Linked DNA regions of Macaca mulatta. The protein of the gene in region 2 interacts with the protein of the main gene of each other region in a pairwise test. Links are inferred from orthologs where the notes say so. Each region holds a gene or a part of one and is shown on either strand. Other genes may lie near its edges.

What was found.
Region 1: the proteins of PACSIN1 (region 2) and EHBP1 interact in a two-hybrid assay, tested with the Homo sapiens proteins (2 studies listed by BioGRID and IntAct). The link is inferred for Macaca mulatta from reciprocal best matches to the Homo sapiens genes PACSIN1 and EHBP1.

Annotation. Positions count from the first base shown.
Region 1 is NC_133418.1:61,808,317-61,820,022, forward strand, and holds part of EHBP1 (EH domain-binding protein 1), read right to left. Parts: intron 8,289-11,706; coding exon 7,386-8,288; intron 1,051-7,385; coding exon 907-1,050; intron 1-906. UniProt on the Homo sapiens protein: May play a role in actin reorganization. Links clathrin-mediated endocytosis to the actin cytoskeleton. May act as Rab effector protein and play a role in vesicle trafficking.
Region 2 is NC_133409.1:147,737,720-147,750,139, forward strand, and holds the end of PACSIN1 (protein kinase C and casein kinase substrate in neurons protein 1), read right to left. Parts: intron 11,955-12,420; coding exon 11,799-11,954; intron 11,646-11,798; coding exon 11,470-11,645; intron 11,068-11,469; coding exon 10,947-11,067; intron 10,851-10,946; coding exon 10,723-10,850; intron 9,748-10,722; coding exon 9,560-9,747; intron 9,022-9,559; coding exon 8,912-9,021; 3' UTR 5,672-8,911; downstream 1-5,671. Other genes in the region: SPDEF (SAM pointed domain-containing Ets transcription factor), read left to right, coding at 1,336-1,383, 1,502-1,648, 2,454-2,632. UniProt on the Homo sapiens protein: Plays a role in the reorganization of the microtubule cytoskeleton via its interaction with MAPT; this decreases microtubule stability and inhibits MAPT-induced microtubule polymerization.

The DNA.
Region 1 (11,706 bases), on a different chromosome or scaffold from region 2:
TTTTTAATGCAACAATAGATAACTTGAAAGAGGAAGTGTGGGAAAATATCTTGGGACTGTTCAAAGCACAGTCTCATAAGCAATAGGGTACTTCTTTGGGTAAACGTGAAACAAATGCAACAAGGTGACCAACCTGGCATGTAGCTACCTAGCTATATGGCACAGAGCTGCCCTTTCTGGGAAAAACAACTACTAACACATGATGGTGCTATGGTGAGACTGTCAGTTTTCTGATTCATGAAGATGTTTGTGTCCTCCTAAATTTTAAGGGCTTCTATTATTATACGTTCATTATTATCTGTGAAGCACTACACAAAAATATGTACAAAAATGTGGTTTAATAAAAAGATGGCAGTATATGATAGGAAAGTGGCCTGACTTTGGAATCTAATAAGGCTCAGGTTCAAATCCTGGATTCACCGTTTACTGATTCTGTGACTTTGTACAAGTTACCTTGCCTATTGGCCTCAGTCTCCATGGTGCTAAGTAAAATAAAAATTATTGCTCCTGAAATACTTAGTAGGTATTCAGTAATAATAGACATCATTATTATATTCTAACATTTCCAATAAAATTAACCTCCATTGACAAAATACAATCTTAGAGTACAACTACAGTTATAAAACTGTTTTTTGTTTATAAAAACAAAAAACAGATTATTCATGTATATGTGGAAATTATATTCCCAGATCTTACTTTTCCTCATCACTAACACTGCTTTGTAGGAATAATGATCAAATGGTCCTACAAGTATGAATTTATCTTTATCAGTTCAGTAAGCGCACTAAGTATTTACAATGTACAGTCTGTAGAAAAATAACATAGCAAAAATACAAGCAAATTACTTCCCTCCTCCCCATGATTACAATGAACAACTTATGGTCTTTTTAAACCAATGCTCCTCACATCACTTAGCTGCCTGTTGCAGAATGGGGTGGCTGCGTTGGTACTGTGCTTATTCCCCGCCTTTAGGGCTGCATCTCTTCTTGCTTGCTCAAGCAGAACTCTTGCTCTTTCCTTAAGTTCTTCTTGTCTAGATAACATTCGATGCTTAAAAGCAAAGATACAGAATTAGAAGCCAAAAAAAGAACTGGTAATCTACATTTGTAAACTAATGAAAGGTTAGACAATCTGCTGAAATAATAGAGATTATGAATAAGATTGTAGCTTCATGAGATTACCTATAGAGAATGTTAATGTTGACTAGAAACCATGGAATGAATATATAAATCTTGATATGAGGGAAATACATCTTTACTGTCTAAAACTGGATTAAATTTAATTATAATTTTATTAGAACATATTCTCGTTAGGTATAAGGCTAATATATATTCTATATATTCTATTTGCTCATAAACACAGTATAATCTGACAAAGACATTTTTTAAAGTTCAGAGTTTTATTTTCAGTCTTAAAGAATTGGTAACAACATGTCTCTCAAATTTGAACATTGATAAATATTAAATATCTGTGGCAATAATCCTTTAAATTCTTAAGAATGTTTAGAGAAAATTCAAAGTTATTATATTTCATTAAAAAAAAGTAAAACTAGTCTTCTCCATTGCTCACTATCCTTATAACAAAACAGCTGAAAATATTATAACTGAAAAAGTATTCTCCTGGATTAATCTGTAATTTTACAATATAATTTTGGAGAACAACAGATATCATCCATCAACAGAGATCAGTTCTTAAATACATTAACCAAAAGCACAAATATTCATACTCCTTATAGTCCAAATTCCTTTTTTTTCTACTAAGTAACCAACTTCTGGCTTTAGATGTCTATTACTATTATCTGACACTTAATTTCTTTTACTTCCCTCTCATTGCATAGTTTTGGTTCAATCATAAGTATCATTGTCAAGGAAAATAAAATAAGTATAGCTATTACTTTATTTCATATTATGTGAAACCATCTTTTTAAAGATTAGTTCAGCATTTTGGGTTTCTTTGTGGTCTTTATATTTTACTGTAACTATTTTTAAAGCTTTTTTTCTATAATCTTAAAGAAGAAAAGATTTTTCTTAAAATGTACAATTCAGTGCTTTTTAGTATTTCATAAGGTTATGAACTATCACCACTACCTAATTCCAGGACATTTTCATCACCCAAGATTTTTAAGAGGATTAAACAAAAATTCTTAATAGATACAAATAAAATGTATAAGTGATAATGATAAGTCTAAGTTCATGTTGAATAGGACACAATAGAATTTAGTTACAATATCAACAGTGTCTCAAAAACAGACAAAATTAATTAAATGAACACTGAATTTTCAGTCAAGACATCAGGCTGTTAATCCCTCTTCCACTAATAATAAGCAATGTAACATTGAGCAGGTCAGTTAAAAACGTACTGCATTCCATTACATGATGTGGAGTCAGATAGACCTGGGTTCAAATATCAGTTCCACCACTTAATTATGGGCACGTTAATTTATCTAAGCCTCAGTTTCCTCATTTATAAAATAAGGATAGAAATAGACCAACTCTCAGAAGGACAGGGCAAAGATTAAATAATAGCATAATGTACTGAGCACTGGCGCATGACAAACACTGAATAAACGTTAAGTATTTGTTTTAATCCCTCGATTTCTTAATCTTTGAAATGAGGGATCATCTTTAAGATTCCACTAGCTCCGAATTCTGTGATTTTATAGTCTTTTGGTGATTCCAACCAGCTACAAAGACAGTGAAAAAATGTTTTGGTCTTAAGAACAAAATCAAATCACCAGAAGACTATAAAATCACTAATTGTGTTTAAGAGCACATAAACACAATTTTAAAAAAAATTTTCCTGGCTAGAAATGCAATTCACTACAGAGATTTCAGAAAATAAATACAAGTTAAAAAGACGATAAATAAAAATTAGTAGTAGTCCTGGTACCCAGAGATAATAACTGTAGAATCATGCTTTTTTTTTTTTTCCCCCTTCACTTATTGTATTTTGAGCATTTTCTTATGGTCTTAAATATTTTTTTAAACATAATTTTAAAATTATTTTATTATTTTACTTTTTTGAGACAGGGCCTCGCTCTGTCACCCAGGCTGGAGTCCAATGGCACAATCACGGCTTACTGCAGCCTTGACCTCTCAGGCTCAAGCAATCCTCTCACTTCAACCTCCCAAAGTACTGGGATTACAGGTAAGCCACCATGCCCAGCCTAAAACATGATTTTTAATTGGCTACCTAACATTACATTGTATAGACACATCATACGTTAGTTAATTTGTCTTATTTTGCTGAACATTTAGGTTGCACACAATTTTTTACTATCATAAATAATGCTTTTATGAATATCTTTAGAGGTACATTTTTATTATACAATTCTCTCTTTTTTTTTTTTTTTTTTTCTGAGATGGAGTTTTGCTCTTGTTGCCCAGGCCGGAGTACAACGGCGCCAGCTCGGCTCACCACAACCTCCGCCTCCCGGGTTCAAGCAATTCTCCTGCCTCAGCCTCCCAAGTAGCTAGGATTACAGGCATGTGCCACCACCCCAGCTACTTTTGTATTTTTAGTAGAGACGGGGTTTCTCCATGTTAGTCAGGCTGGTCTCGAACTGACCTCAGGTGATCCGCCTGCCTTGGCCTCCCAAAGTGCTGGGATTACAGGCATGTGCCACAGCGCCCAGCTATATTATACAATTCTAATTATTTCCTTAGGAAAAATTCCTGAAAGTAGGATCTAATGAGATAAAGATTTTTAAGGAATTTGATGCACATTGTTAAATTGCCCTTCAGTAATGTTGACCACATTATATTTGGGCTAAAATTATTTTTTAATGCTATTACGATAAGATGTTATATGCATCAAGTGGAGAAGCACAGACTTTGAAGACAAGGTTGCTTTTTAATTCAAACTTTAACATTTATCATATAACCTTAAGTAACTCTGCAAACCCCAGATTTCCCACATATAATATAGAATTTGACTACTTACCTTATGGGTTGTAAAGTTTAAGAGATATGTGTAAGATAGATAACTGTCATCACATGTATTAGGCACCCAAATGGACAACATTATGACTTTGTTAAGTATACAAAGTCATATTAAAGTTACTAAATTTCCTCTAATCCAATGGTTTTAATTGTAAGAATTACTATTATTTTATGAACTACTAAGAACAAACGTTGTCAATTAAACTCTAATATACTATCTATTATAAATAACATTGATTGAGAAGTTAAAATGTAAGAAGATGTGTATCTGAGAATTGAAATACTGTGTACAAAAGAGAAACAGATTTTTAATTGTCCAAAATTCAGTTGCTATATACAATTTTAAAAGCCTACCAAATGTCAGCACCTATATTACAGTGTTTATTGTTAGACATTACTTTTGCCAATACAGTGTCAATAAAAATCTTTAAACTTACCCTAAGCAAAATTCTGAGTAAGTCAATGGCCAAAGAGAAAACATATATGGAGCTATGAATAGACGTTGCTTCTATCATCCAGTACACTTTAATCATCTGAATAGAATCACAGAATGATAGTTTCACAGCTAAAGGGGTTCTTAAAGATTACTTCATTTAACATACATGGAAAATAAGATTGAGAGAGGCTAAATAGCTAGTTAACATGTCATTACTAATTTATTGGGAGAGCCAAAACAAGAATCCAGGCTTACTGATTCCCAGTCCAGGGTATTTTAACATTTTAAATATCAATCAATTTCTAGTTTTAACTAAACATATTTGCCTTAAAAATCTGGTTTTTAAGAAAAATTTGGCCAGGTGCGGTGGCTCACGTCTGTAATCCCAGCACTTTGGGAGAGTGAAGCAGGATTACCTGAGGTCAGGAGTTCGAGACCAGCCTAGCCAACGTGGTGAAATCCCATCTCTACTAAAAATACAAAAATTAACTGGGCATGGTGGTACACACCTGTAGTCTCAGCTACTCGGGAGGTTGAGGCAGGAGAATCACTTGAACCCAGGAGGCGAAGGTTGTAGTGAGGTAAGATCACACCACTGCACTCTAGCCTGGGTGACAGGGCAAGACTCCATCGCCCCGCAAAAAAACAAAATAAAAATCTGTATTGAATATTACAAGTTAGGGTCATCAAGTTCTTGTAATTGTCATTCACTAGATGTTTATTGATTATCTACTCTGCGTGGACATTATGCTGTCCTGAAAGCTTTCAGAGAGATTTAGCTACTTAGGACTTTTGATTTGAGGTTTATGATTAGGAGAACAGGGGCTTGCTTTGACAGCTACTATACTTCTTTAATTCTAATATGTAAATTCTTTCTTGACACCTCTGAAACCTTATAAATGGCAGAATCTTACACTCTCTGTCATTCAGGTGGCAGTCAAGACATGGTTGTCTATCTATATATATATTGTTTGATATTTCTGTTGGCATGATGACAATTCCTTGATGTTTCAGTCAACACCACTTGAGGACTATGTGAGAAAGAAACATAACTCCAGATTACTGTCTAAAAATCTTCTGTTGAGACCTTCTGGTAAAGCCAAGACAGTGCTGTTATCAATGAGTATACTGACCTGGAAGAAAATCCCAGAGACAGTTGTGGAGAAATGCTATGAATTCAGAGGTTCAGGCCGGACATGGTGGCTCACACCTGTAATCTCAGCACTTTGGGAGGCCGAGGTGGGTGGATCACTTGAGGTCAGGAGTTTGAGACCAGCCTGACCAACATGGAGAAACCCCGTCTCTACTAAAAATACGAAAGTAGCCGGGTGTGGTGGCGCATGCCTGTAATCCCAGCTTCTCGGGAGGCTGAGGCAGGAGAATTGCTTGAACCTGGGAGGCAGAGGTTGCAGTGAGCCAAGATGGTGCCATTGCACTCCAGCTTGGGCAACAAGAGCAAAACTCTGTTTCAAAAAAAAAAAAAAATCAGAGGTTCTCCAATTTTTTGGTCTCAAAATCCCCATATATTCTTAAAAATTACTGAGGATCCCAAAAAACTCTTGCTTATATAGATTATATCTATTGACATTTGTCATTTTTGATATTAAAACTGATACAATTTTAAAATACTTACTTTTTTCATTTAGAAGTAGCCACAATTAACTCATTAGATGTTAACACATTTTAATAGAAAATAATTACTTAAAAAACAAAAATTGAGAAGGATGGCATTATTTTACATATTTTATAAATCTCAATATAAAAGCAGCTGAATTCCTATATCTACTTTTATATTCGATCTGTTGAGATATCACAAATCATGTAACTTTCAGAAAATGCCATTATACTCTTGTGAGAGAATGAGTGTCATGAAGGCAAACGATGCCCTAGTATTATTATGAAAATAGCTTTAACTTCGGGTGTTCTCTGAGAGGGACTCGGAGAACTTCAGAGGCCCCCAAATCTGGCTTTGAGAACCATGTACTGTAACAATGCTTTTGATAGCACAGACGATAACTGTGCAGAAAAAAAAAAAAAAAAAAAAGGAATACCAACAACTCTAAATCAAAAAGTGATTCAGAAGAGTTGGATTCTAAATGTGAAAAACTTTTAGGAATACCTTAATCAATTTATTTTGCCTAAAATTTCCTCCTTAGGTATATGTAAGAGTGTTAATATGATCAAATTATGCCTAAATAAGTCTAAAAGAGCTCTTTCAATAGATATAAAAATTCTGAGTGATAGGAAAACCACGTATCATAATTTTATTGACAATGTTGTTCTTTTTTGTTGTAGTACATAAAATAATAGTATATCTTATAACTGACTGTACCAGAGATACAAGTAAAAACAGTAAATTATTAATATCATCAGTAAGAGAAAGGTTAAAACTGTACAATATTCCCTTCATGAGGAGAAATTTGGATGCTGCTGGGATATTTAACCACAAATAATGATGGGACTAAATAAACCAATTAAAATATCTAAGGAAAATGCTTAAAATGCGAAATATTTACTTTGGCATTATACATTTTTATAATGATGTTCTTATTAAATGGAATATTGAAACAACTTTGACTTATTTTATAGTAGAATATCGTTTTTATAAGTAATATTTTTATTTGAAAAGTTGACATTCTTTATCCTTCAACTTTTTTTTCATAGTCTTATTACACAATATCCTTCAATGTTGAAATTGGGATTTGTAGGCTTAAAATATTATATCATAAATCTTAAATATAAAGCAGGTATATTTCAGGTTTTTCTTTTCTTGAGACAGGGACTTGCTATGTTACCCAGGCTGGTTTCAAATTCCTAGGCCAAAGCAATCCTCTTTCCTCAGCCTCCCAAATAGTGGGGACTTTGGCGCACACTACTGGATGCCTCAGGAATTTTTACAATAGACATTACACTTCACCTTTAATCATTTGCAACATCTATGAATGCAAAAAGAAACAAAAACAGAGAATAATTACTAAATATAGTATTCAGCATTCTAATTCACTTACCTGGACTATTTTTGATGAATGATCTGCATGATTTAAAGTGGTTCTATCAGCATCTGGATCAGACTCCGTCTGCCTCAGGGAAGCATGTTTTTTCTTTGCAAGGTCTAGATCTCTACTATATGAGTATCCAAGTTTAGAAGTAGGAGATAAACTCGTTTTTTTGATAGGCGATTCTGGATCTGATCTGCATTCTAAGGATCTGGAATTCTCTAATTTTTCTTTCTCCAAGTTACTACTGATGTCTAGAGTTTGAAGCTTTTGTTCATCTGTCTCCTCACAAATAAAGGGTGGAGACATATCCTTCTTCTTATCACTAACATATAAGTCACTCAATTCTAAAGTCTCAGCTTTCAATAGTCTCTTTTTGCCTAACAAAACCTGTGCTTGGGTTGAATCTGTATTGGAACATATTCCAGGGTCATCAGATCCTGAAGTCCTTCCAGAGCTCTGCTGAGACTTCTGGGGTTCTGTGTCACTTTTAGTCCTGCGACAGTAAGGGGAGGCTGTGCTTGGACTAAGGTGATCATCAGGAGTTTGACGCTCACTTTCTGACTCTCCAACCCCACTATCATTAACGAATACAGAGTCATCCTGTGATAAGAAGTCTACTGCTCCGCTGATGGGCTGTTGTAGTTCAGGCTCCCGCTTCAGATCACTAAGCTCTGCATAGAATTTTTCTTGATCAACAGAACTGTTTGTATCTGTTTCGTAGTTTCCAACTTTATATGTGCTTTTACTGCTGTTTTCCTCTATCTGAACAACATTTAGCTCTTGGCCACTGAAATGTGCCCTTATTTGATAGAGATAAGTCATAACAGTCAGTTTATCAGGAATTGCTAATAATACCATATCAGAAGGTTCCAATAATCGGGAAATTCCTATGCTGGCAAATCCATCGTATGCCTTCAAAGGAAGGAAAAACAAAAGATATGTTGAACAGTTCACATAATTCATACATTTTAAAAAGAGCACATTTTTAATTGTTGTTGTTGTTGTTATTGGAGGGTACATGTTATCGACATTATGTCACATGAAAATAACAAATTTCCAAAAGTCAGACATGTGTAAAAGTGGGGGGAGAGGCAAGAGAAAAAAGTGTAATAAATAAGAATTAAAATATTTTTTCCAATAAAGGAAATAAGCAAAAATGAGAGTTAAATTTTTTAAAACTCTGAGAATGGACTTTTAAGATAAGGAATGAAAGTATAAAGAAACATTAGACTAATCCATATTGAGCTTTATCATTTCTATCAACCTCTCTTTTCCACGGTCATGTAATTGCAGTGATTTGTGAAGAAAAGCACAGCTAGATAAGTCAAAAGAACTAACTACTAGATTACCTGATATAAAATACAAATAAATGCAATTTAAGTGTAGAAACAGAAACATTTTTTAAATGCTCAATTAAGACTGATTTTCATAATGAAAAGAGTGACTTCATTTTAATTCATTCGTTTTGGAAAGAATGAAATGTTCTGAGTACTACAACCTAGTTGAGAATGTAAGGCTGCATTGTATTATTTTTGTTAGCCTTTAAATGACTATGGCACATCAGGTTTTTCTAGTTTTGAATAATCAAAGCTGTTTCTCAATTTACAATTAATTATTACTATCCTGAACTAACCCTTGAAAACAGCATTGTGTTGCTAGGAAGCATTAAAAGTATGGCTAAAGGTTTAGATATACTCTCAGAGAAAGAAAGAACCCTCTAGATATATTCTTGCTCTGAGACGTAAAATGTTTACTCTTTTTAGGAACCTAGGATCATAATTCAAATTTTTTCTTAAAAGACATGTTAGGAAACTATGTAACAATTCAGAAGGAATCAGTCTTCTGCACTTACTTGTTAATCTTTAATTTCTACGTTTGAATTTAATCTTTGTCTCATATTCTTGTAGTTTAACAAACATTAAGGAACAAGTAAGAAAGAAAATGAAAAATAAATTGTGATATTAAAACCTCTTCAATTTTCACAGCACTAGGCTTCACAATATAGGTACCTCAAAATATTTACTAGAGAGAATGACTCAGTTGGTGTGCATGTATAGGCTTGTTTGTTATTTTACAAGTTTTAGGAAAATTGAAGTCATTTTCCTTTTCATGTGTCTTGACAACTTGACTGACAGGCATCAATAGCAGGCCATCAGGGAAAGCACCACAGGCAGTATTCTAAACATTCCCAAATTATCTAAAAACACTGACATATTGGTTAAGATCAGATGTCACAGGAAAATGCCTTTTTTTATTCAGCACTTTTTACAGACCCGGGGAAATGATTAGCTTCCTTGTGGGGAAACTCCTGCTGGTGTTTTGCTTCAGGTAGCAATTCATTTTATATACACTAATTACACTAAAAAAAAAAATTAAAAACAAACTAGGTTTCTTGTAAGCAAGGTTTACGCTTTATAAAGGACTTTTCCCAAAGCTTAATCTCTTCTGCCCTGGTCAACTACCTACTGTTTTTTACCTGTTTGTGTGGGGTGAAAAAAGAGGTCTTTCTAAGAAAATTATCTTATTCGTTCCTACATGTTATTAAATTGGTAAGGAGGAGTTACTGCCAGTTATGTTATGCATCTGTATGAAATTTAAGACACAGGCATTGTTTTCCTATGGTGCTTTAAGTTCATTCAGGGGCACATGGGGTTATTGGGAAGAACTGTGTGAAGCTAGAAGTAATTTGCAGGTAGCAACTCAATGTAGCTATCAGGTAAGAAGCAGCAAATGATGAAAGGAAAGACGATGTAAAAACAATTATTTATTGAATAATACAATGAATAGAATCATCAAAGATAAAGCCTTTCAAAAGCCATGATTGTCTGTACTGGAAGATCTAACTGAAAAAAATTTTTAATGGGATGGTCTTCCGTATGGAGTAATATGTAAATCCAAAGTATGCTTACCATTACTAAGTTAATGAAAAGCTAATGTAAAGAAGTGTGACTTAAGCCTTAATGAGATTCCCCATATTCTTCACACATTTATAACGAGGTAGAATCAACAACATTTTCTTTTCAAAATTTTGAACAGTAAGGTGAAACATCCACTTTAAAAAATGGTTTATTTTATAATGCTCATGTCTGTATTTAAATTGGCTTAGCATTTTGTTCAAATGTAAGAAAATGGAGGTAAAGTACTGCCATACCCAAAGATATAATTTAATTGCAATTAATGAAAAAGAAGCACTTCACTTTAATAGACACAGGCTCTCCAAAATTATACAAGAAATAATTCATGAGAACAATTTACTTTGTAACATGCCCATCTGAAGGGTGATTTCTACAAGAAAACTATACTGATTTTTAAAGATTATCTTTTTTTGGTGGCATATTTCAATAGAAACTGCCAGGTTTTTATTGCTCTATGGCCAGCATTATGCATTTGCAAAAAAACAAGCATTTTTGATTGTTTGTTTGTTTTTGGACACAGGGTCTTGCTCTGTCAACCAGGCTGGAGAGCAGTGGCGTGATCCTAGCTCACTGCAGTCTTGGGCTCCTGGGCTCCAGCGATTCTCCCACCTCATCCTCCCAAGTAGCTGGGACTACAGGTGCATGCCACCATGCTGAGCTAACATTTTCATTTTTTGTAGAGATGGGGTCTTGCTACATTCCCCAGGCTGAAGAAACAAAACCTTTTTGATGGCAATACACATTTTTGGTTTTAGAGAGCAATACAAGTGAAAAATTGTTTTGATTTAAAGACTTGTTAACTGAACTTCTATCAAGGTTCCAAGACTTTGTATCACCAGTCATTTTAATTATTTAATTTAAAGTATGTTAAGAACTTTAGACCAGAGGCTATTAACCACTTTGTCTCATGAACCCTTTTGGCAATGGGTCCCTTCTCAGAATAATGTTTTACATGGATAAAACATATAGAATTACAAAAGAAACCAATTATACTGAAAAATACACCTATGAAAGTATTACTTAAAATGAATTTGGGAAGTAGTAATATATGTGCTTTTTATGACTGCACGAATTAATCTGAAGACGTTATAAGCTTATAAGGTATTTGCAGATATCTGCAGCAACAACTATAGCATGACATGAAAATATCGAAAATATCTGTGATTTCTAAAGGTGACAAAGTTTCAGCCATGGCTAACACTATGGTGGTTTATTGCCTAAATTCATAGTTAAAGGAAATGCTAAATTTCAGTTGAGGAATTATGAAAGTAAAATGTATTTTTTCCCTCAACCATGTTCAAGAAAGAACACCCTGATTTCTACCCACAGATCACAGGTTAAGAACTCCTGTTCTAAGACAATAATAAATTTCATTAATTTTTCAGTTGAAGAATTCAATTCAGTAGAAAAAAACA
Region 2 (12,420 bases):
AATCTCAGCCCCAGTTTCAGCTGCCTCCTGGATCCTGGTGCACTCCTCACCCCAACCCACTCCCAGTCCTGGTCAAGGCCCCAGAGCTTTGGGACAGAGCACCCGGGAGGTTAAAAGGTAGAAGTCAGACTGTGAGGATGCAGGGTGTCAGAGCTGGGGACAACCGTGGACGCTAGGAAGTCCTTTTTCCTTTTAAAATTTTGTTTTCCTTTGTTTTTGTTTGTTTGTTTGTTTGTTTATTAAATAAGTAATAAACGTGCATGTTATAAAATAGACCATAGTGAAAAGTAGTGTACCATAAACAGTTTCTCCCTCCTGCTCCCGACCCCCAGCTTCCAACCCCCTCCCTAGAGGCAACCACTTTTACCAGTTTCTTGAGTATCTCTCCAGGGAAAGTCTATGAATATTCAAGCACATATACATATATGCAGTTCTTCTTCTTCTTATATTTTTTTGACATAAATAGTAGCAGAGTATTACACTGCTCTGCATACCACAGTATGTCTTGGTATTAAAAACACAGTATGTCTTTAATTTTATACTCTGCTAAAATTAAAGTGGCCCTGCTTTAATTTTAGTTTTTGTTTTTTGAGACAGGGTCTTACTCTGTTGCCCAGGCTGGAGTACAGTGGCACAGTCACAGCTCACTGTAGCCTCGACTTCCCGGTTTCACTGGATCCTCCCACCCCAATCTCCTGAGTAGCTGAGTCTACAGGTGCACCACCACACTGCTCACTTTTGTATTTTTTGGTAGAGACGGGTTTTCACCATGTTGGCCAGGCTGGTCTCAAACTCCTGGGCTCGAGCAGTCCACCCACCTCGGCCTCCTGAAGTGCTGGGACTACAGGCGTGAGCCTCCGGGCCCGGCCTGCCCTAAGTTTCTAATGGCTGCGTGTCAGCCCCTGAGTGTCTAAATTGTCTCAATCTCATTGGGCACCCACTGCTGCCTGCACAGGGCCGGGTGCTTTGGAGGAGATGGTGCCTGCTCGATGAGTCAAGGAGTAAGAAGTAGGGCCCACTCATATGACCCTGTCAGAGACCAGTGCCCTGCCCCAGCCCCGGCAAGCCCCCATGTCAGATGTCCTCATCTGAACAAGCGGATGCGTGCAAGCCCTCTATGGCCCCTCCCAGCGCTGAAATCCTGAATTTTCGTCCAGGAAGCAGCTTCTTGTAACCAGCTTGCCTCCCCAGGTTGGCAGGAGGCAGGGACTGTGGCAGGGAGCCTCAGGGGCAACCCCCAGCCACAAAGGGGCTCCTGTGGCCCCACAGTCCCACCCAAACGCCTCCCCTCCTCCACCTCTCCTGGGTCCCCAACCCCCTCTCCTTGCCCTGCAGCGGCCTGGATGAAAGAGCGGACTTCACCTGGGGCGATTCACTACTGCGGTGAGCCAGGCAGGGGCAGGGCGGGGGCGGGGGCTCGGGTAGGGTGGAGGGGTGGCTGCCACTGAAGCAGGGACTGGCCTCCCCTTCCCACTCACTGCCCCCCTCCCTGGCCACCCAGCCTCGACCAGTGAGGAGAGCTGGACCGACAGCGAGGTGGACTCGTCATGCTCCGGGCAGCCCATCCACCTGTGGCAGTTCCTCAAGGAGCTGCTACTCAAGCCCCACAGCTATGGCCGCTTCATTAGGTGGCTCAACAAGGAGAAGGGTGAGCAGGGTGCCCAAGGGGCACTGCAGGGCCAGTGAGCATGGAGGTTGTGGGGGCTTCTGCCAGGCACTGTGCATGGGGGCAGGGGCGGGCAGAGGGGGGAAGCTGATCTCCACCTTTGTCCTGGATGCCAAATACACAGCTTTCATGAGATGGCCCTGGGGGGTCTGTGTGCAATTTGTGTCCATATCTGTCTCCTGCTAGACTCTGTCTCACTTAGGAGCTTAGTACAGCACAGCTCCTGGAACGAGCTCCAAATCGACTCTCCCTCCACCGTCTCGTATTAATTAATCCCGCCAGAAAGGGCTGCGCAGGCCAAAACTGCCTGGGAATAGCAAAGATGTTGTTTCAGGCTTGGGAACTACAGGGACACCTGTAATGGGGGAGGAGTGCTCTTGCCAAGTGAGCTGTGGGCACTGCTGGGAGCCACACAGGACTTTGGATTAGGGCACGCAAACCCCACACAGGAGCAGGGGCTGGCAAGGGCCAGGCCCGCAGGGCCCCAGAGAACCCACTAAGGTACACAGACTCAACTGTGCCGGGAGGTTTGTGACTCCAGAGTATTCTCTGCCATTCACTGGGGCCTGTGGCACCTGCTTTGCACACATCTCTTTAACCCTCACCACTACTGCACCTTGGGAGTAAGCATTCGGGTCCCTGGTCACCCCGCCCCACCCGAGCAGAAGGAGGCCTCTGCACAGGGTCTCTTGGTTCGCCCCGAGGCTGACCTGGTGGTCTGCGTCTTTCTCCTTCCTGCCGACTCACTCATACCGCTGGCTCTCTCGGGGCCCTCCTACTCTTCCAGGCATCTTCAAAATTGAGGACTCAGCCCAGGTGGCCCGGCTGTGGGGCATCCGCAAGAATCGTCCCGCCATGAACTATGACAAGCTAAGCCGCTCCATCCGCCAGTATTACAAGAAGGGCATCATCCGGAAGCCAGACATCTCCCAGCGCCTCGTCTACCAGTTCGTGCACCCCATCTGAGTGCCCGGCCCAGGGCCTAAAACCCGCCCTCCGGGGCCTCCCTCCTGCCTGTCCTGCCTCAGCCAGGCCCTGAGCTGGGGGAAAATGGGCAGTCTGCTCTGCTGCTCTGACCTTCCAGAGCCCAAGGTCAGGGAGAGGCGGCCCGCTGCTCTCAGGGGGAGATGGGCCTTCTGGGGCCTTCGGGACCCCAGGGCAGGGGTGCTTCCTCCTCAGGCCCAGCTGCTCCCCTGGAGGACAGAGGGAGCCAGGACTGCTCCCCAACAAAGGACCCCTCTACCTGCCTCTGACCCCAGCATTTCCAGAGCAGAGCCTACAGAAGGGCAGTGACTCAGCGAAGGCCACAGGCAGCCCAGGGCTCTCTCTGCTCCATCCCCCTGCCTCCCAATCCGCACCACGCCTGGCATGGTGCAGGGAGACGTCTGCACCCCTGAGTTAGGGAGCCAGGAGTGCCCCCGGGAATGGATAATAAAGATACTAGAGAACTGACATGTCCCCAGTGTCTGCGCAGTGAATGGCACAGCCCCGAGGTCATCAATGGTCAAGTGTGGTTGTGGTCACAGGGCCTGGAGTAGTCAAGGGAGGCTTTCTGGAGGAGGCGGCTTTGGGCTGAGCCTAAAGGGAAAGGGATAATTGACTGGTAGATGCTTCTGGGAGAGAGATAGTGAGGCTTCAAAGTCAAGGAGGGGCTAGAACAGCCACCTTATCTTCCCTATCCCTGTTCGGGCTGAGAGGCGGGTGGTAAGGCTGGTGTTAAAGAGGTTCTTCATGCAGGACCCGAATGGGGAAGGTATCTTTCGCATCCTTTTGCTCTGTTGCAGAGCAGGGCTTTGCAGCTAACAGGGTGGAAGAGAGGTTGGTTGGCTCCCGTTTCTGTTTCCTGAAGGCCTCAGCAGTACCGTCTGTGAAGATGTGAGCTCCTGTGAGTGGGTGTGAGACCCCCGTGCGTGATGGAAGAGGGTGTGCATTGATGTCTGTGGGCATGCTGGGGGTGACCAGGACCCGCCACCCACTCTCCCGGGCAAAGCAACTCATCCAGCTTCCTCCCACTTCCCTCACATTTATCACCCGGCTCAGTGTCCTTATGGTCTACTGTGTGCCAGGTGCTTTGTCATTTATCTTCCCAACAAAACTATGAAGTAGGGGCTACTCCCCCATTTTGCAGATGATGAAACCGAGGCTCAGAGTGCTGCAGTGACTTGCTGATGGTCACACAGCTGATTGACAGAGTAACTCATACCTGTCTTTCCACAAGAACAGGGCTCTCTCTGCCCCTCCAGCCCTCCGGCTTCCTGACTGGTTAGCACCCTTGGTCCTCTTTCACCCTTATCCTCTGAGGCCTGGCTTCCAGGAAACAGCAGGGGAGCCAGCACCACCCAGACCACCAAGGGTTAATTGCTACCCTGTACTGCTGCCTTCCGCCCTCAGCAATTTTGTTGTCCAGAAGAAAGTTTGCTCCTAGCAGTGAGCAAATAGCACCTTGGCATCTGTCAGCTGGGCTTGCACTGCAGGGAGGAGGGGGCCCTGCCCCAGGCCTGTGCCTCGCTGGGCCCCTGCTGTCTCTCACTCCCTTGGAGGGAGGAGTGCCAGGGGGAGCCTGGGACCCTGGCCAGAACCAGGCTCTGCTGAACTGGTTTTGTCTCCAGCCAGCCTGGCCTGCTCCTGACTGAGTCCCTGGAGCCACTTGCTTGTATGTCCCCAGCTGGGCCTGGGCCTGGAAAGGCCTCAGATCTCAGTCAGGGTTTGGACAAGAGGATAGGTATGGGCAGTGGATGCTAGGAGTACAAAGGTGGAGCAGCTCTGGAAAGGGTAGATGTGGGGGCCCGGGTGAGGCAGCTCCCTGCCCATGAACCTTGGCAGGCACATGCCCATCCAGTGACACCTTGTGAGCCGGCAGCGATCTGCAGATTCCTCTCCCTCCTCCAAACACCTCCCCAGCAGAACCCCACCTGGCTGGGGATTCTCTGACCCTTCTCCATGGGGGCCCCACCCTCAGGGCCCCTCATCACTAAATGGAACAGCCTGTGCAGGTAAGACAATACAACAACCTTTTGTCTTTATTTGAAGATTTCTCTGTTTGGCTAAAACCGGGCTTCACATGGAGGTAGGTTTGGAGGAGTAAGGAAGATGGGGTGGCTGATAGATTCAATCTCCATCTCAACCTTTTTCCCTGCCTGGCACACCCTGAGGCTGGGGCACGGGGTGTCAGGGAGGGGCTGGGGTATATTTGCCCTGAGTAATGGGCTTGTGTGATGGCCCTGCCAGGCTGCCAGGGCCAGAGGACCCTGAGAGAGACATCTCACCCGACTGGGGAAGCTGAGACCCGGGTGAGGGTGGGAACACAGTGAGCTGATGGCAGAACTGGGACTGGCCCTTGGACTCCTGCGCTGCCCCAGAAGAGATCCCCAGAGGCTGGGGTGCAGGGGGAGTCAGGGAGCCGGAGCAAGAGCTGGGCCTGGGGCTGGAAGAACAGCCGAGAACCCAGAGCTCTGGTCCTGCCTATGCCCCTGAGAAATTCTCCCCAAGGAGCCCTCCCACGGGTCCCACACAGAAATGCCTTCAGAGCCAGGTTGGGTGCAGGAAGGTGTGGCACGGCCCAATGTCACCACACAGGGAGCTTGGCACTGAAGTTGTGGACAACCAGGAACCATGGGCCTCAGCGGTCACTTTTAGAATTCTGCTTTAAAAAGCAAAACCTATTTGAGAGCTTCATTCACTCTTAATCCATGAGTGTGGAAACCTGAACGCCCCAGCTCTCCTGGTCAGGGCCTGTCACCAGGCACCCGGAACCTGAATGGGCCAGAGCTCCAGGAGCCTCCAGTATCACCCTCCCCAGTCCAGACAAGACCCAGGCCCCTGCAGGATGAAGGGACCAGGCCTCAGTGGCCCAGTCTATGGATGGTCGGCCAGGACAGCACCCAGCCCTGCTCAGGCACCACCCCTGCCCTCCTGCATCCCAACCACAAACAGCTCTCAGAGGGCTCAGAAACCCCCAGGACTGAAGAAGGCGCACAAGACTCAACATGACAATGCGCAGCCAGGTTGACACAGTTCTGGATTTTATCCACAGTCATACAATCACAACTGATATATATATATATTTGTATTTATATACCTTTAAATTACACAATCATGTACAAAACAGGTGCATTGCTGAGACCACAGCACTTCTCGGAGTTTCACAAGTGTCGGAACTAATGGGGTCAGGAAGCCTAGGGCGGCAGACGGCGGGTGGTGGGGCAGCCCCGGTTCCTTACAGAACCAGGCCGCAGAATGGTGGTTAACTCGGGACAAAACACATTACTCGCCAAGCCCCGCCAGGGCGGGCCCGTGCAGCATCGAGGATGCGGGCAGGGGCTACAGGAGGAGGCCGTGGGCATGGCAAGGGGCGCGGCACCCACCCTGGGTGTTGAGTGCCCTGACACCAGCACTGGCAGGTAGGGTTGGGCCCTGGAGCTCAAGGGGACTTCCAGGTAGGAGACCCTCCTGCTCTGGAGCCCTGAGGAGCCTGGGGACTGAGAGAGTGGTCCCAAACAGGGCCCTGGAGGTGGCTGCTCAGGATGGAGGGGGTTTCGAGTCCCTGTCCTGGAGTGGGCAGCTGGAGTGCTAAGAGGGACAGGGTGGAGTCCAGCTGGGGCTGCAGCCCCTCCGCAGGTGCTGGGAAGCTGCTGGCACAGAGAGGGGGAGCCCAGGCCCCAAGATGCAGATCGCCAGCTTCCCACCTTTCCAAGGTAAGTGATGAGGGACAGACGCCCCTACCCCAGCTCCTGCCTGGGGAAAGGCTGGACTTCTGCGCTGGAGCTGGGAGGACTGCAGGCTTCCAAAAGCTTGCTTCAGGCGCTGAGGAGCCCAGGACACATCTCAGGCTTCCAAAAGCTTGCTTCAGGCGCTGAGGAGCCCAGGACACATCTCAGGCTTCCAAAAGCTTGCTTCAGGCGCTGAGGAGCCCAGGACACATCTCAGGCTTCCAAAAGCTTGCTTCAGGCGCTGAGGAGCCCAGGACACATCTCAGGCTTCCAAAAGCTTGCTTCAGGCGCTGAGGAGCCCAGGACACATCTCAGGCTTCCAAAAGCTTGCTTCAGGCTCTGAGGAGCCCAGGACACATCTCAGGCTTCCAAAAGCTTGCTTCAGGCTCTGAGGAGCCCAGGACACATCTCAGGCTTCCAAAAGCTTGCTTCAGGCTCTGAGGAGCCCAGGACACATCTCAGGCTTCCAAAAGCTTGCTTCAGGCTCTGAGGAGCCCAGGACACATCTCAGGCTTCCAAAAGCTTGCTTCAGGCGCTGAGGAGCCCAGGACACATCTCAGGCTTCCAAAAGCTTGCTTCAGGCGCTGAGGAGCCCAGGACACATCTCAGGCTTCCAAAAGTTTGCTTCAGGTGCTGAGGAGGCTCATCTTGGCTTCAGGCTCATCTCAGGCTGCAGCCAAGGCCCAGAGACCAGACAGTGATAAGGAAGGGGGTGCTGGCAGCAGGAAGGAGGTCTGCCTGTCCCTGGGATGCCATTGCCCCTGGCCCTGAGGGAGGCCTGCCCCAGCTCAGGCCCCTGCCAGAGTGTCAGGACCCTCCGTGCCCACACGGAGAAGGTCAGAACCTTGAGGCTGGGCTCTACTACCTCCTAACAGTGGGCTGTTGGGAGAAGCAGCAAGAGCAAAGGAGGACTGAGGGGGAACAGGGCTGGGCTGGCTCTCTCTCTTTACCTGGAGGCCCAGGAGGCCAGGTGTGCAGGAGGAAGGAGGGCATCTGCGGTCCAGAGGCCTAGAAGTGGCATCCACCGTAAGCAAGTCTCACCTGGTGCTGCAGGACTTCTCAGCTCCTTGCTCCAGAGGTCCCCAAGAGACTTTTCTTCCAGCTCCCCTCCCTCATGGGGTTTTGTCCAACCCTGGTCTGCTTCCCAAGCCCCCGTACCCTCTCGTGCGGGAGAGGCTGGTACCTAGCACTCCGGCACTACTGCTCACCAACCAGCAGCTGGGCCCTTTGCTTCCACCCACCCCCGAAGGTCCTTTCACTCTGACCCAGGCTTGGAGAGATGGAAGGGCTGCCAGCAGGGGGAATGTTGTTCCGGGGACTGTGGGGACAAGGAAGAAATACATGATGTGACTATCTTCCTCTTGAGGGCCAGGGTTCCTCCTTTCTGCCAAACTCAGCTGCAGGTTCTCCCCTGATGTCTCAGGCTGGAGGCACCCAAGGGGCCCTTGCAGGCTCCCCAGGCAGGTCAGAGAAGAGGAGAGATGGTTAGGCCAAGAGCTTTGCAGGTACAAGGCTTGGCCTCATGGAGGCTGATGTGGAACCCAGTGATTTTATGGTTTTTGGATGGACATGGGGGGAGCGTGGGGGGCCAGGGGGACAAGATGACCTCCTCCCCAGCAAATAGGAGGAGGCTGCTACTGTTGCTGGCTTTGCCATCAGTTTGGGGGTCCCCACCCTAGGCCAGGGGACTTATGAGAAGGGACAGGTCCTCTGCAAGTTGCTGAGGGGGTTTGGATCTGCTGAAGAGCCGATGCTCAAAGTGCTGATGGCTGGAAAGAAGGGCCTGGGTAACAGGGTCTTGGTCCCTCAGATGGGCCTGGGGCTGGGAGGGCTGGCACAACCCGGGCTGAGAGCCTGCATGCCCTTCATTCACCCTCCTGTACCCCAGTGACACCATGACTTCCTCCAGCTCACCCCTCTTTCATGTCTGGGGGACCCCTGGGAACCTCCAGCGGGGAGGAGGGTGACTGTTCCTCCTCCAGTCCCACTGGGCCCAAGGGACGCAGCTAGGAGTAGAGGATGCTCCCCAGGGTAGAGTGGAAGACTAAAGATGGGGAAGCCTCCCTCCCTGGGGTCTGGAGAGGAGGCCTTTGAGGGCAGGGTGGTGGAGGAAGGGAAGCAGGGCAGGGGAGGAAGAAAAGGTTAGGAAACCAGGCCAGGGAATGGGGCAGGTGCCGGCAGCCTGGAGTGGAGTGGGACAGAAGGAGTGAGGCAGGGTGGAAGGGTCAGGAGACATCTCTCAGGGCTCAGGAGTCTCTTTGGTGGAACCTAAAGAGCAGATGTTGTGATGTTGGGCTAAGTCCTAAGCCTGTTACCTACCCTGGGACCATCATCCCAAGCCCCAGCACCGCAGCCTCCAGGTGGCCCTGCAAATGCTCTGTCTCTGTATACTTTGTTTTGTTCTGTTTTGACTTTTAAAAAAATAAAAGCTTGATCGGAAAATATGTCTGGAACTCTATGGCGAGGGGAAGGAGACGAGAGTGGGAGGGGAGGGGAGGCAGTGGGGAGGAGTGAGGGGAGTATGGAGGGAGGGCCTCTAGATAGCCTCCACGTAGTTGGCAGGGTAGAGGCCCAGCTGCCCGCTGTCCAGCCGCCCACGGCACCAGCCCTGTTCATCCTCCTCGCCCAGCTTCGTGAGTTCGTCTCCTAGGGAAAAGAACACGGGGCGGGGCGGGGGGGAGGGCTCAGAGAGAAGGCTGCCCCTCCCTCAACACACCAGTTGCAAAGGGAGCCCTCCAATACCCCCTCCCGGTTACTGCACTGGGTCTTAGATTCTTAGGCCCTGCCCCTGGAGACCAGCCCCAGTTCCATGCCAACATTCACATGCCACCCTTGGCATAGGGGTCCTGGCCTACTTCAGCCACTCACCTAATCTGGGTGTCGGGTCCGCCCCCAAAATCAGACCTCGCATCCACCCTATTCTCAGGTTCTGACTCCGCCCCTGGCACCAACCAATCTAAATCTTGCTCCCACTCCCATCCTGGGCCCAGGTCACGCCCACAACCCAGGCCACGCCCCATTTAGTTCCCTGCAAATCCTCGTAACCCGTCTTCAAATCCTGTCTCTGCCCCACCGCATACCCAGTCCAGGCCCAAGCCTCTCTTTCAGGCACCGCCCCTGCCCCACCACACACCCAATCCAGGCCCAAGCCTCGCTCAGGCACTGTCCCGCCCAGCCGCCCTACCGGCCTTAAAGCTGAGCTCATCCTGCTCCTGGCCGTCATAGTCGTAGAGTGCCCGCACGCGCACTCCCTTGGAGTCGTCCTCAAAGGGGTTGGCACCCCCGTTGGCCTCACTGCCCCCAAAGGGGTTTCCACTCTCGTCGTCTGACCACTCGGTGGCGTAGGGTTGGCCTCTGTCGTAGCTGCTAACACTGAGACGCGGAGGGAGGACCCAGCTTCAATGTCTCCCCGCACCACACCCCGAGGGCTAACCACTCCTAATCAGAGCTCTGACCCTGAATTCTACCAAGTCTAGAGCAAGGATTAGCCACATAGGAGGGGTGACCCTCATGAGCTCTTTAAACAGATGTTTAAATGCAGGGCCATTTGCATTATTATTCAGCCCAAGAGGGAGAGGGCATTTAAGGGGACCCCAGGGCAAGTCTGAGTCTTCATCCGGGAGGAGGAGTACCACCTAATGATTAAGAGCAAGGATCCTGGAGTCAGACCTCCTGGGCATCATATCTGGCTCTGAGGTTTATTAACTAGCAATGTGACCTTGGGCAAGTCACTTAACCTCTCTGGGTTTCAGTTTCTCCATCTGTAAAACGGGAATATTTACGCACTTGAACCGCGCCACACACAGCAGGTGCTCTAGAAGGATCCGCTACCACTATCTTTTAGAGAGGAGGCTTGGTTCCTATTATCTAGACCAGGGATCCCTAATCCTGGGGCTGCAGACAGTCCGTGGCCTGTTAGGAACCAGGCAGCGCAGCAGGAGGTGAGTGACAGGCAAGGGAGCATTATCGCCCGAGTTCCACCTCCTGTTAGATCAGCCGCGCCGTTAGATTCTCGTAAGAGCGCAAACCCCTATCGTGAACTGCACATTCGAGGGATCCAGGTTGCACGTTCCTTATGATAATCTAATGCCTGATGATCTGAGGTGGAACAGTTTCATCCCAAAACCACCCCGCTCCCATCGGTGGAAAAATTGTCTTCCACAAAACTGGTCCCTGGTCCCAAAAAGATTGGGGACCGCTGCTTTAGAGTGATGAACTACCACTCTCCTTTAGAGAGGAGACATAGTTGCTATGATCTAGATCATTTCTTGTCTTCTGAAGCACAACTCAGCTGCCCCAGAGTGTGGGTCCCTCTTGGCCCCAGGAAGCTCCACAGGAGGCACTCACCTGCCTCGGTCCCCAGCCTGGGATGTGGACTCTACTGCCCCAGTGGCATTGGTCAGCGCCACTCCCTCTGCCTTCTTGGACTGTTTCTCCTTCTTGGTGGTGGTGTGAGGGAGGTCTGGGTTCCACTCCTGGTGGGGCCAGTGGAGCAGTCAGGCTGGGGGACTATGCCCTGAGGCACCTTTCAGCCTCTTCAGGCTCCCCTTCCCATCCCCACATATCCTCACCTCAAACTGGGGCCAGTTCATGGGCATGCCGGGGCCACTGGTGCTGCGGAACCATCTGAGGTCTTCCTGGGCGTCAGCCCCCCGGATGGCCTGCTCCAGCTCACGATACACATGGATGTAGCTGTGCTCAGGGAAATGGGGGAGGTGGAGGGCACAGATTCACCATGGCCCCTTCTCATCCTTGGTGAGGGGCCGGAGTCCACTCAGGGAAGCAGGGTGCTGGGCATGCTGCCCAGCCAGGAATCATGTGGGCTTTGCAAGAAGCAGCTCCGGGCATGCTCAGTGAACTCCCTTCTCCCTCCCACCTTAGCCATTCACCCATCACCCTGCATGTATTTCTAGAGTACGCAGTGTGCGTCATCTTGCACCCAACAGCCGCTGTGTTTGAAGCCTCATCCCTCTTGACCCCTGCAGCTCTGCCTCCCCTTCCCGTCACTATGATGTAGGGCTGGGATGCCCTGCATGCCAGTCACACCAACTGCTGGCTGTGCCTGTGCCCTCGGTGCTTGCCATGCCCAGGTACCTGCTGTTCTCAGCCAGGTTGAGGTGCCGTTTGATATCCAGCAGCACCTCCTTGAGGAAGACCAGCCGCTTTTCCTCGAATTGCTGGCACTGCTCAAACACCTGCTCCATGTTCTCCATGTACTGGGGTGTGGTCTTGCCCACGTCTTCCAGCACTTTCTCGTACTTCTCCTGTGTCTGTGGGCACCAGAATGGAGAGAGGGTGACACCTAACCAGGCCTGCAGCTCCCAGCCACCATCCTTTGCAAGGGGACCCCCAGACCCCCTGCTGCCATCCCGGCCCGGCCAGCACCTTCTGCACATCCTGCTGCCATCCCCGCCCGCCAGCACCTTCTGCACATCCTGCTTGCACTTGTCCACTTTGTCCTGCAGCTTCTTTTGTTGCTCAGGTGTGACCGATTGCTCTGTCTTGCTGTTCATCTCCCGTGTCATGGCCAGCTTCTCCTCTTTGCAAGCCAAATGGTAGGCCTTCTTGGCTGCCTCCAGCTGTGGGAGGGGGGAATAGGGAGTAGGGTTTTCATCTGTGACCAGCAGCAAACATGGTCATCCATCAACTCCTCCCCTGCCCACTCCCTGGGAGCTGTGAGCCCACACTCTTTTTTTTTTTTTTTTTTTGAGACAGAGTCTCGCTCTGTCGCCCAAGCTGGAGTGCAGTGGCCGGATCTCAGCTCACTGCAGCTCCGCCTTCCGGGTTCCCGCCATTCTCCTGCCTCAGCCTCCCGAGTAGCTGGGACTACAGGCGCCTGCCACCTCGCCCGGCTAGTTTTTTGTATTTTTTAGTAGAGATGGGGTTTCACCGTGTTAGCCAGGATGGTCTCGATCTCCTGACCTCGTGATCCACCCATCTCGGCCTCCCAAAGTGCTGGGATTACAGGCTTGAGCCACCGCGCCCGGCCGAGCCCACACTCTTAAGAGCCAGAAAGGATGCAAGCCCTGGCTCCAGATGTTCAGG